Drosophila melanogaster: one gene and its partners. The protein of the gene in region 3 purifies or fractionates together with the protein of the main gene of each other region. This does not show direct contact. Each region holds a gene or a part of one and is shown on either strand. Other genes may lie near its edges. The genes, in order: Nplp2, CG34205 and CG4390.

The links.
Region 1: the proteins of CG4390 (region 3) and Nplp2 purify together in Drosophila melanogaster (affinity purification with mass spectrometry, with the first as the bait; one large-scale study listed by BioGRID). This does not show direct contact.
Region 2: the proteins of CG4390 (region 3) and CG34205 purify together in Drosophila melanogaster (affinity purification with mass spectrometry, with the first as the bait; one large-scale study listed by BioGRID). This does not show direct contact.

What each region holds. Positions count from the first base shown.
Region 1 is NT_037436.4:13,354,417-13,357,852, forward strand, and holds Nplp2 (Neuropeptide-like precursor 2), read left to right. Parts: upstream 1-1,959; 5' UTR 1,960-2,182; coding exon 2,183-2,227; intron 2,228-2,310; coding exon 2,311-2,436; intron 2,437-2,591; coding exon 2,592-2,681; coding exon of another isoform or gene 2,682-2,780; 3' UTR 2,781-2,807; downstream 2,808-3,436. Other genes in the region: CG17687 (uncharacterized protein), read left to right, coding at 253-433.
Region 2 is NT_033778.4:22,129,582-22,133,008, reverse strand, and holds CG34205 (uncharacterized protein), read left to right. Parts: upstream 1-1,709; 5' UTR 1,710-1,798; coding exon 1,799-1,876; intron 1,877-2,041; coding exon 2,042-2,365; intron 2,366-2,428; coding exon 2,429-2,680; 3' UTR 2,681-2,895; downstream 2,896-3,427. Other genes in the region: NtR, read right to left, coding at 2,896-3,018, 3,079-3,245, 3,318-3,427.
Region 3 is NT_033777.3:20,055,910-20,061,462, reverse strand, and holds CG4390 (uncharacterized protein), read left to right. Parts: upstream 1-1,712; 5' UTR 1,713-1,767; coding exon 1,768-1,896; intron 1,897-2,171; exon of another isoform or gene 2,172-2,410; coding exon of another isoform or gene 2,411-2,651; intron 2,652-2,718; coding exon of another isoform or gene 2,719-3,445; intron 3,446-3,503; coding exon of another isoform or gene 3,504-3,609; exon of another isoform or gene 3,610-3,715; intron 3,716-3,972; exon of another isoform or gene 3,973-4,021; intron 4,022-4,088; coding exon 4,089-4,952; 3' UTR 4,953-5,045; downstream 5,046-5,553. Other genes in the region: mdlc (midlife crisis), read right to left, coding at 2,411-2,651, 2,719-3,445, 3,504-3,609.

The DNA of each region.
Region 1 (3,436 bases), on a different chromosome or scaffold from region 3:
TAACTGCTAGCAAAAGTTCATCTAAATTCGCAAAAGTTGACTTTTAAAGCTATCAAAACTAGTACGTTGCCAATATAATGTTGCATTTAAAAGTTGCTGTCATACTTATCAGAAAATAAGAAGAAACTTATCTATCTGTTGGCTACAGTAAAAAGTATTTTTACCACTGCTCATATTTCGGGCTAATTACCGAATTTCATGCAAAAATCAAACAGTTTTATATTTAAAACATATGTTCTCTTTCCACCGCAGAATGTCGCAGATTAAGACCCATCGGCAGCTCATGGAGAATGTCCGCCGCAACTACGCCCATGTGCTGGAACTGCAGACGATTCTGGAGCTGCTCCGTCTGCGAACCTACCCCACGTTGGGTCCACCCCTGCCCCAATGTCATCCGCCAGTGCCGGAGCATATCCTCAGTTCGGTGCCCTAGGAGAACTTCAACCCGACCAACCAACAGACCAGACCGTGGGGCTAAGTTTTAGCCACTTGGCGAAATTGCAATTAAATATTTTCATTCCGCCAAATGAAAATTTATTAGTGGTTCTGGGTATCTGGTCTGGGTCTTCTGACTCGTGCTGCCACTTAATTGGGTTTGTTTGTGTCTGGGGAAAATTACGAAAACGAGGCATAAAGTCGTGCACTTTGAGCTCTGTTTGCTGTTTAGTTCGTTGCTCCCGAAACAAACTCTACTCTTGACTAACTACTTTTGGGGCTTAAGTTGGGGGAAACCCTTCAGCATCGCACTTCACATTTATTGTTTTAATGAATTGCCCTTGAAGACACGAGAGTTGATCCGAGAGATCAAACTGTTGCAATATAATACAAATAAAAAACCCCGATTGTCACTTTATATGGCTATCATATCGTGATTACGCTAAAAATACGGCAATACACGACTATTATTCTAATTATTATTACCTCTTTTAACCATTACGTAATCTTCGGATTTACTCCGAGCAGTAAGCCCTTATCTATTCAGCTTTCAAAACCAGAGAACTGTAATTTCTTTACTAAATATGCGAATTCATCATTTAAATTACTTTAACCCCTGGAGGTGAGCTACAGAATACACTATTTTTGTTAGTTCAGTTTTTTTACCGCAGCATCTATGTTGATAATAGTGTTTCGTTATTTCTATTCGCCTTTTAAGATGAGTTCACCATGCTAAATTTACGTTTTTGATATCCAAAGTCTACAAGAGTAGCTCTGTCTAAATATTCTGAAAGCGTTGTTTGGTTTGCCCAAGTCCAATCGCATTTGCATTTCTCCAACTTAGCTTCGCGTTGGAAATTTCCGGGTTGCTTCGTCAAATTTTCTAATACTCGGTATTATAAATATTTATTTTGCGCAATTACATAATTTCGAATGTAGGGCGCCTTATCAAAAGCATTTAAAAAAAACCTTATCACGTGCCACGTGCTTTGCATTGATAGCCGGTAAAATGGAAATTATAGTATAAAATAAAATTGACTATATACCTGTTACTCGTACAGAAAGTCGACTATAGCGTTATCTCTTCACTTTAACTATATATAAATATATATTTAACTAAAAAAAATGCTTACAGAAATATTAAAATATTTGGTCTTTAATGAAAAAAACAAATAAAAGTAGATAAACAATTCCGATTGCTGGATCGAAAGGCCTTCAGAACAGCTTAGCTATGCGAGCCATTGAAATGATAAGCACACATTGTAGGATATGTATATTCCAAATTTATACAGTGGTAATTCCATAATTATTTCTTGTTGAAATTCAAATTAAAAATATTCTTAAATTATATATTTAAATCTTTGTTACGGGCCAAGTGCTAGAATACTGGATTCGAGGATAGGGCAATACCATTAAGTCCTACAGAGATTAACTATTTGGCGGTTGCATAAAGCGGTTATCTTCTGTGACTAAACAAATGTAGACATTCTTGAGCCAAGCAAACGCTCAGCTGTTATGCGAAGCAATCTATTCCAGCATGCTACGGAAAAAAGTACGCTTATCACGGGTCAGCTCCGTAGCTCTAAACGCTCGGCCTTCCTAGTGCCGATAAGCCGGTCTCAAATTCGGCCGGCTGCGGCGCAAAACGAGGTGTCGTTATGAGTAGTTTGGCAGAGGTTCAATCAGTACTCAAGTCATCGTTCTCTAGTTCAGAGTTCCGCAGCAGTTACAAAAAACCAACACAAAAATGGCCAAGCTCGCAATTTGCATCCTCGTGTTCGCCCTGTTCGCCGTAAGTAAAATGCTCAAAGTCCTGGCACACAGATGCAGGACCTATTTTCAGAGATAAACTACAATGTGGCACTTTGATTTCAGTTGGCTCTGTCCGCCCGCGTCCCCCGTGAGGAATCCAATCCTGCCCAAGAATTTCTTACCAAGGCCCAGGGTGATTTCAACGAATTCATTGAAAAGTTGAAGGCGTTGGACGCGAAGAAGGTTGAGGTAATTATAAAGCAATCATATCAAAAATAAAGCGAGTTCTAAGTAATTAATAGTCATTTTTCGTGGAGACGCTTAAAACTCATTCTATCCACTACATACGTATTTTCCATAAAGTATTTACGAATTTCTAACTAACAACTTTTCTCTCTGTGTAGGGTCTCTTCAAGGATGGATTAAATACCGTGCAGGAGGGTCTGCAAAAACTTAACGAAACATTTCTTCAGGCACCAGCCGCATCCACCTAAGACGTTGTTGGATGGCCATATATCATTACATTGAAAACGACTCCAATAAATGTTTTAACTTTAACTTTAGTTGTTACATACATGAAAACTAAAAAATGAAATTAAAACGTTAATTGTTTTTAGCACAAAAACATATATTTGCCTATTACTTTAAAAAATTTTTCCATTCCACTTTCTAGAATAGCTATTTTATTACCTTAAAATTGGTAAAATTGAGATGTTTAGATTGAAAGATGATTTTTTTATTTATATTTCTTTTATTCTGAGAAAATATGCTTCCACGCATGAATTTGACTTGGTTAGGATAAAATTATTATAATTATGCCAATTTTTATTAGTACGGCCACCGAAAATGGTTAATTGCACTTCCTACAAGCTAAGTTATGGAACTTTTCTATACCGTTTTCACTGTGTTATTAAAGATTTTAGATGCTGAAGAGTGCTGATCTCGCTCTTCTTCGAAGAAAATTGCAGAAAATCAAAAATTATTGCCATGATTTGAGTTTCGTAAGAACAACTGGCTTTGAAACGGTAGCACGCGTGAAATATTTGTCAGCTATTTTGCACACCTGTTTGGCGCAGCCAACTCGGGGAATGGAGGACGAAATGTGAGGGCTTTCGAAACCATGAATAATGTATTGGCATTTGTACGGCATCGCATCTCGGGGAATCCCCTCCGATCGCCCAATCTAACTTCATCGCCGCGCACGATTGCATAATACCAAAGTGGATTTTTGCTTCTTCCAAGGGATTTC
Region 2 (3,427 bases), on a different chromosome or scaffold from region 3:
GATCGCCAAATCCAAATGCGGCTAAAGACTCGCCTCTCGATCGAAGCCATAAAAACCAAGACGAGGATCGATCGGCTGATCGCCTTAAATCGTCATTTAGTATGTGGCAATTTGGCATTCGAGTTTGCCACCCTTCTGATCCACCGACCGATTGCTGGAAAATTGCTTTCCACCTGGCCAAAATGTGGGGCAGTGGCTGGGAAATCTTTTATTTATGAGGACCGGCGACACACCGACCACAACACACAACACCGATCTGTCCGCATCTGTCCGGATCGAATTGGACATGGAACACTTGTTTGGCAGTCGCCGACCACTGGCAACAATTGCTCCTATTGACTTAATATTTGCTAATAGAATTCACATAAATCACATTCCACTGGCATGCATGATTTATGCATGAACTGCGATCGCAGGTGACTCTCTGTCTCTTTTGCGGCGTTTCGTGCTGTCCTTTTCTCATTGTGCTAAGTTTTTTTTCGAGTTTTTTTTACGAGATTTCGGCGTTGAAGTGGTGTTTTCGAGACCTCTTGAGAGGAACTCCACTGAAGTGCTGCAAGTTGCATGCGCTAATCTGAGACATTATGTGCTTTCCAAACTTTAGTTTCTTAACCCTAATATATAAAGCAAGTATTTAAACACGGACTACCTTATTGTCTCAAAAAGTTATGTAAAGTCCACAAAAATATAAATCATTTAAGAAATGAATATATACACCATATCTATACTTAAAGCGAATAAGTGATATAATGATTACTTGAGACACTATTAATCCGTGATAAGGATCACGACGAGCATTCTCAACAATTTGTAGCATTATTAATTTTGTGATGACCCAATGTCACACCTCCGTACCCCCGCACATCCCGTGGGGTTAATCAAGTCGGCCATAAAAAATCCCACGAACTGCCAGATGCTGAACCGGCAATTTCAGCCGGCAAAGTCGATGGATCGATGGCGAGTTGAAGCTGGAGCTGGAGCTGGCGAACTGGGGCCTCCACTCGATCCAAACCCCCTCGCCACGCACGAGTGTCCTCGAGACGAGACGGCGTGGCTGCGGCTGAAATCACCCATCCAATATGGTCAAATGTGGCACGCAGCGGCATTCGAGGCACGATAAAGATAAATATGAAGCTCGCCTAGATATTTCGGCCAGAGGGGATTGCTGCTTGGTGTTTGGTTTTGGCGTTTGCCGATTTGGCAAGCGTTCATTATGCAATTTGGAGAGAATTTCCCAGCGCCACGCCGAGAATTGTTTCGAGAATACTCAAACATAGCAACGAAAACAATTAGACGGCATTCTACGTTGGCTAATTAAGTTGTTAGTGGCAAGGCTGCGTGCTTTCGAGGGGCGTGTCACCTGGCGCGTTGCCCAAATTGGCCAGCTAATCAGCGATTTCAATTAGCGTGCGCTTTCCAAATGCGAGCCACAATGGCACCCCCAGTGTAAAGACCGCCTTTCCTGCGGCGACTCCTTAGCCGGCAAGTGGTCTGCCTTCGGTTCGGAGCTCCCAACTCCCAGCTCCAGTTCAGGTTGCGTCATCCGCGTTTGGGGGCTCTCCAATCCGAGCTGCGTCTACGAGAATTGCAGTTTCACTGCAGCCGAGATACTTCACAAATTGGTGCTGCTTGGCCCGCTTTGTTGACTGCTGTCTGCTGACTGTTTGTCCGTCCGAGGCTCAGATCGAAATCTAGTCAAGATCTGTCCGCTCGACCACCTGTCCTCCGGTCCGCAGTTCGCAGTCCGCTCGAGAGTGCGAGTGCGTGGTCTGCCGTCGAGGGGTATAAAAGTAACGCAATGCACACGTCCACTTACAGTTGCAATTCTCCCTCCAAGCCAAGTGATTCGTTATCCAGCGCTAGCATGAAACTTCTGGTGAGTGGAAAGGGTTGGAAAGGATGCGGCCTAGGATCAGTATTATCACTTTAAGCCAATAATACTGACTGCAAAGGATATCTTCATACAAGGATTACCTCGATCTTATATTCACTAGATCAAAAAGATTAACATCAAAGTTTGGTTTTCCATTTACCTCGCCAGATCCTTACCTCTCTGCTGGCTGTGGCCACTGCTGCTCCTGGACTCCTTGATTATGGACACTCGGCTCCGGACTACAGCTACGCCCATGCCGCTCCTGCCATAACATATGCAGCTGCAGCTCCAGTCATCAAGTCCTACGCTGCCCCAGCCATCACCTATGCGGCTCCAGCTCCGGTGATCAAGTCCTATGCCGCTCCAGCCATCAGCTACGCCCATGCCGCTCCTGCCATCAGCTACGCCGCTCCCACGGTGGTCAAGTCCTATGCTGCTCCTGTGGCGGTCAAGGTGGCAGCTCCAGCCACCAGCTACTCGCACTTCAGCTCGGTAAGATCTGGATATACTCTGATATTTTCCCATTTAATCTTACAATCTACTTTGCATGCACAGGTTGTTTCCCATGCCACGCCCATTGTTAAGTCGTACGCTGCGCCTGCCATCGCCTATGCTGCTCCAGCTCCGGTGATCAAGTCCTATGCCGCTCCAGCCATCAGTTACGCCCATGCCGCTCCAGCCATCAGCTACGCTGCTCCCACGGTGGTCAAGTCATATGCGGCTCCAGCCATCAGCTACGCAGCTCCTGCCCTGGTTAAGTCATACGCTGCACCTGCCCTGTCCCTGGGTGGATACGGTTACCACTAAGCTCCGATACCAAAACACTCCAAATCCAAATCGATCCCGGATCGGAGTTGGAACAATGGCAGCAATTAACTGCGAGGAGTCGCAACAGCCCAGCACGCTCTCCCACTTTTTCAACTTGTAGTCGCAAAATCTTCACAATCTTCTCTGTTTACTTCTTATTTATTTAAGAACCATTAATATTCTCTCAAATGCACAATAAAGAAAAATTCTGTTTTTCAAAACCCACTCGTAATATCTACGATGGCAAAGGTTATAATGACCAAGATTGAACTCAGGTTGTTCAGGATCTTGGCCATATGGTGCCAGGGATTCTCCTGAATGTCGCAATAGTCGGTAGACTGTAGGAATATAGTGAATTGCAATACGTATATGTGTTCAATAGGGGCTTAACTACTCACATCCGAAAATCTCAATCCCAGAATGCATCGCAGAACATTGGAGTTAATCACCCTAACCAGCCAGCCAGGAGCCTTCGATCTGGGTGGATATAGATCCAGCCATATAATGCAGATGTGCAGAATGTAGCAATAGGTGGTGGTCATCATGATGACTTTATATGCAGTCACTGTAGGAAAAGTGAAAATTTGAATTTGAAAATTATACACAGTGAGTTTTAGTTAATTGATTTAAAACTTACTCATGGGCGGCACATAATGCGGAGAGGCGTAGCGCGTCATGTACATTAAACCCCAGGCGGCAATCAGCAAGGCGATGAGAATGAGGGAACTCCTACGAGTAGAACGCAGT
Region 3 (5,553 bases):
AAAACAAACAGCGTGCAGCCCAACAAACGTGCAGATGGGTACAAGATGGCCCTTGGGTACATATGCACAGGAAAAAATGATATATGTATCTATACACTTAAAATTACACACAATTTTACATAAAAGTCTTAAAAGATGAATATTAAACTTGTTTCATAACAAAAATTAGGGTATTATAGTCACTATATATATATAACTTCTATAGTTCTAGGAAACTGATATTGATGATTTCTATAGTCAGAATTAAACTGCATGACTTAAAACTATTCTACCTCTTACTCAAAAGGGTGTACTAGTCCCATTATGAAATTCGACGAATGTAGCATTTCCGACTTGATAATATTGTGAATATATTTATCATAATTTGAAATAAATCCCTAATCAGTCTATTACTCAGACTCTTTTAAGCAGGAATGAGGATATATGGTAGTCAGAGTCCTTTAGCATTCCTTCTTATGTATCTTAACTTTCAGCTGGCAATATAATTTAAGTATAACTGAGATAATTGCAATGTTAAAGTACAAAAACTTAAGTAGGCTTATATTTAATTTAGTATCATTGCTAGTGAGCACACAAAGCTCAATGTAAACAACATCAAGATGATGTTTCGAGAACGAAACCATGTTCCCCGATTTCTGGAGGCGTCAAACTCATTTAACGCCTAATTACTTTGGGGCCGAGACGCAATCGTGTGAGCAACCGCACACAAATTTCTAAATCCTAATTAGGCGGAAAAACTACCCATCCTGCCCGGAAAAGCAACCCAAATCCCCTGCCTACTTATTGCGCTTTGGCAATCAAAGCCGCTGACAGAAAGTATAAAATTTCAGAGCTCACGTCTGCCGCTCACTTTCGCATTTATGGAAATAATTAAAACTGATTTGCAGGTCGAAACAATTATTGCCTCCTCCTCAATTAGGTTGCGTTCTTCATGCACGACTTTGTCATTCAATTAACCATTGCACTGCCAATAAGTGAGTGGCACATAAAATGTGAGAAAATGCGAACGTGACCTAATAGCCGTGAGCCAGCTTGATGATTGTTATCCTTGGAAAAATCCACAGCAGAGGCAAATTTCCCTACTGCAGCAATTACCAGCATCTGAATAGTGGCTGTCTTAAAGAAATGTGAATGGTGTATACAAACGAGGTAAAAGTATTATGCGTAACCAGAGGAACAGGCAAACCTTCTGCATAAACCCCTCCAATAAAATCGGCTCGACATTGTGGCAGCTAGGATCCTGGAAAATAGAAGTTTTATCCTTTTTGCTCATCCTGGGCAGCTGGGCTGCTTTTAAAGGCTTATGTGCTCATATTTTGCATGCTCGGAGCTAGGGAAAAAGGGTGGGCAGAGAAGCCGGATGGATTTTGGAATTTGTGGCTAAGCATCGATTCGTTACCACTGGCCAATATTTCGGCTTTGTGCTGTGAAACAATGCGGCCTAGAAGTTTGGCAGGAGGTTTTGATTTTAGCGGGCAAAAGTCAAACGAATTCACTTCCGTATAAGTTTGGCCCGCTTTACTACGTTTCCCAGCTTCCAATTCCCCTACTTTCTGTGCCTGTGCTTTCTGATGCGAGCGAAACGGGAAATGAAAGTGCTGACAATTAAATTATGGCTATAAGATTGGGCCAAAATTTTGCCGCTTCAAGAAGGCAGTAGTTTCAGTTGCTTGCCAAGTTTAAATTTGGTCAAAGTTGGCCTTTGATCGTTTCAAACGTCAAGCAATACTCGATCGAAATCACAAAGTTATTGCAGCTCCCTTGGGAATGGGAAGAAATTTCCTTCGTCTGCCCAGTGTGAGTGGTAGAAGCTCATTCGTATATTCCATAGTCGCCTGTTCAAATCTTCCCAAGCGACGGAGCATTGTGCTCAGTTTTGGCCACATTATGACCGAGGTGAGTAAGGCTTTTAGGTCCTGCGGACTAAACATTAATATAAAATCCTCGTTGTGATTAATTTTATAAAATGCTTTTCACGATTAACTTTCCAGTCCCGTCCCTATGTATCAAATTTTAGTATGAATTATAAATAATAATGAATACATACATATATACGTGTTAAAACAACTTACAGATGAACTGCTGTGCATAATTTGTATGTTAACCAATCGTAATAGATCGCCCAAAAATAAGTAAAAATTTTAATAAATACCACAGAACTAGTATTTCTTGGTTGAAAACTTATCAAAATATATTTTTCTAGTTACAAGTAAGAATAGTGATTTATCAGCAATTCTCTTTGGGGCAAAGGGTTTTACAATTTCTTACACGCCACCTATCGGTGGTACAATCCTTACTTTACTTTCTACACTTATGCGGCAAATGTGCTGTAAAATGGATTTTATGTGAAGCATCTAATCAATGTCCCTATTTACTTTCACAACCTGTATAAATGATTTAAAAAAATATTTTAATCACTATCATCCGAAGAAATCTCCTGAGCTTCCTCCCCTGCTTCCGCTTTATCCTCCTTTTTCCCAAATTCCTCCTCCTCATCACTATCTGAGTTTTCCATTGGGTTTGTCTTGAGGCGAGCTATCAGCTCTTTGGCGGGATTGAAAATACCATTTGTTTGCTGGGAACAGATGATGCAGCGCTGTGACTTTTTGTACTGGGCCAAGGCGCACTTTTCACAGAAATAGTGCTTGCACCTGGAAGAAAGATAAATATGTTATTTATTCAGTAAATCCAGTTTAGAAATCGTTATCATCTTCATACTTTGTTACCACGGGATTGACAAAACTCTGTCGGCAGATGTGGCACTTGAAAGGCAGTGTTTCTTCATCGGAGTGAATCTCATACTTGGTATCATCGCCATCGGAGTCTACATCACCCGTTCGCTGATTTTCGTGATCCATTTCCAATTGCCAGCCCGCTTTGTAATCACTGCGATCGTGCAGAAACTTACAGCTGTCGCCAAAGCCGCAATATCCTGTTTCCTTGTAATCCTTGCATATATCCGGCTGATAATCCCACCTGACAGTGGCCCTAAGATGGGCAGGAGCCCTAATTGGGCCACTTCGTACCATTCCGGAGCTGGCATTCCCTGCCGCTGTATCCTGCTTCTTGTAGTACTGCGCATAGTTGTTAATTCCGCGATAGATCTTATCGTCCGCCTTGCCCTCCAGCTCTTCGTTGATTTTCAGAGCTCGCGCATGAATTGCCTGCGCATCGCGATCCAATTCTGTGTCCATTTCGTTAATCGATGTAGCTCCCTGATCTTGGGGTCCACTGGGCAGCGCCTCGCGTTTGGATTTGTACGCAATGCCCAGTTTATCATCGTCGGAGGCTGAGGATGAGCCATCATCACCAACTCCTCCCGCCTGTCTCTTTGCTTTGCTCATTGTCTTGGTGCTCTGGAAGTTGGGATTCGTGCGCTTTCGGCGGTTCTCGGCTCGCACCAGAGCACTGGCTTTGCCTTTGGTCTCTTCATCGCTGCTTTTTGCTGGAATATCAATAATATTTGCCCATTTACTTTGTTGGCGGTAAAATTAAGTTCCTACCAGATTCATCACTGCTGGTTTCCTTTTTGCGACGAATTCCAGCTCCCTTCTTGAGGTTCCGCTTCTTGAAGCCAAAGGACGAGGTGCTAGCCGCTTCTTCCGACATTCTCCGGCTTTTAAATTTATGTACTTATCTAGTAATTCACGTTAACAACAATTAACAATAGCAATTTCGCCAACTGGCGCTTCTTCTTCCCGGCTAGTGATGGTACTTGCGTAACAATCGTTATGGAGTTAGTATTTTTGTATGAAACGGGCACATTAAAATTCAATGTTTACTTATGAGGAATATATTCGTTTGTAATAATTGCAATTTTTACATATTTAATACATCATCAATATGTAATAATTAATAGATTTATATTAATTTAAAGAATTCTAGAAAATATTAACTCCTATGGGATCTACCCTTTTAATCATCGATACCAAGATGTTCTGAAAGCTTCCCACTTTTGGCGCTCTACACGCGGTCACACTGTTTTCTTATCGCTTGTTATTTTTAGATCGTCAAAAAACAAGTGCGTTTTTAAAAATTAATGGATTTCAGTTTTAGCTTACAAATTATTTACTCCGTTTCACCCCCAGAACATGACGCTCGAACAGCTGTCCGCAAATAAGTGCTTCGAGGGCGAGCAACGCGTGTATCGCCATCGCTCGGACACCTTGAAGTGCGACATGACCTTTGGCGTCTTCCTGCCGCCGGCCGCTTTGGAGGGTAAACCGTGTCCGGTGCTGTTCTTCCTCAGCGGACTGACCTGCACGCATGAGAACTTCATCCAGAAGAGCGGATTCCAGCAGCACGCCGCCCGCCACAACCTGATCGTCGTCAATCCGGACACTTCGCCCAGGGGCGTGGAAATTGCCGGCCAAGATGATGCATACGACTTTGGAAGCGGGGCTGGATTCTATGTGGATGCAAAGGAGGAGCCGTGGTCGAAGCACTACAAGATGTACAGCTATGTGACCCAGGAGCTGGTGGATGTGGTCAATGCCAATCTGCCCGTGGTTCCCGGTAAACGCGGTATATTCGGCCACAGTATGGGCGGCCACGGAGCCCTGATCTGCGCGCTTAAGAATCCCGGGCTGTACCAGTCGGTGTCCGCTTTTGCGCCGATTGCCAATCCCACCGAGTGCCCGTGGGGCAAGAAGGCCTTTGCCGGCTATCTGGGCTCCAATCCGGATGACTGGGCCCTGTGGGATGCCACGCATCTGGTGTCGCAGTACGAGAGCACTCCGCAGGAGCTCTTCATCGACCAAGGTGCAGCAGACAACTTCCTGGCCGGCAAGCAGCTGCTGCCGGAGAACCTGCTGGCTGCCGCAGATGGCAATGATCACATCCAGACCATCTTCAAGCAGCGCGAGGGATACGATCACAGCTACTTCTACATCGCCACGTTCGTCGCCGAACACATCGCCTACCATGCCGCCCTGCTCACAGCTTCCGCTTGATGATATTCCGCTTGTACATAATCGTTGGTTTCCACCGAAACCATAATTCAACGTAAATTTGGCAGTAAATAAACCAATTTCGACTGAGCTTCTAAAATGTATTCTTACATTCTTGACTTTAAACTTTGAACTTGGACTTTGAAAAACAAATATTTTTATTCATTCTAGGTGCCAATGTACAGAAGATTATACACAAATGGCGTGTACTTTGTTATTTCGGTTTTAAGTTCAGCAATTTCCTTTCACAAACAAAAACTTAAGTAATGGGTATTCAGCATTCGTCGAATTCCTAAGGACTTTTTCCCGGACTTGTGGTAAGGGTAAAAGCTCGCAACGTAGTAAAAGCTTTCCGGTTGTTGGTCCACGGCATGCTGGAAACTTTCCGCATCCTGGCATCCTGCGTACGATTCATTCATCAGTAGAAAAAACGCCGTCTGATGGAATAGATGTGCTAGTGACAGAGGGAACCGAACCGAACGGAGGTACCAAAAGGCGACATTCTCGACTCGTTTGGCGCCATATTTACTAGGACCAATCGGAGTCGCCAGCTCTGTATTTGCGTGACTGCGTGTGTGCGCGAGATAGTCCTGTTTTTTGGACC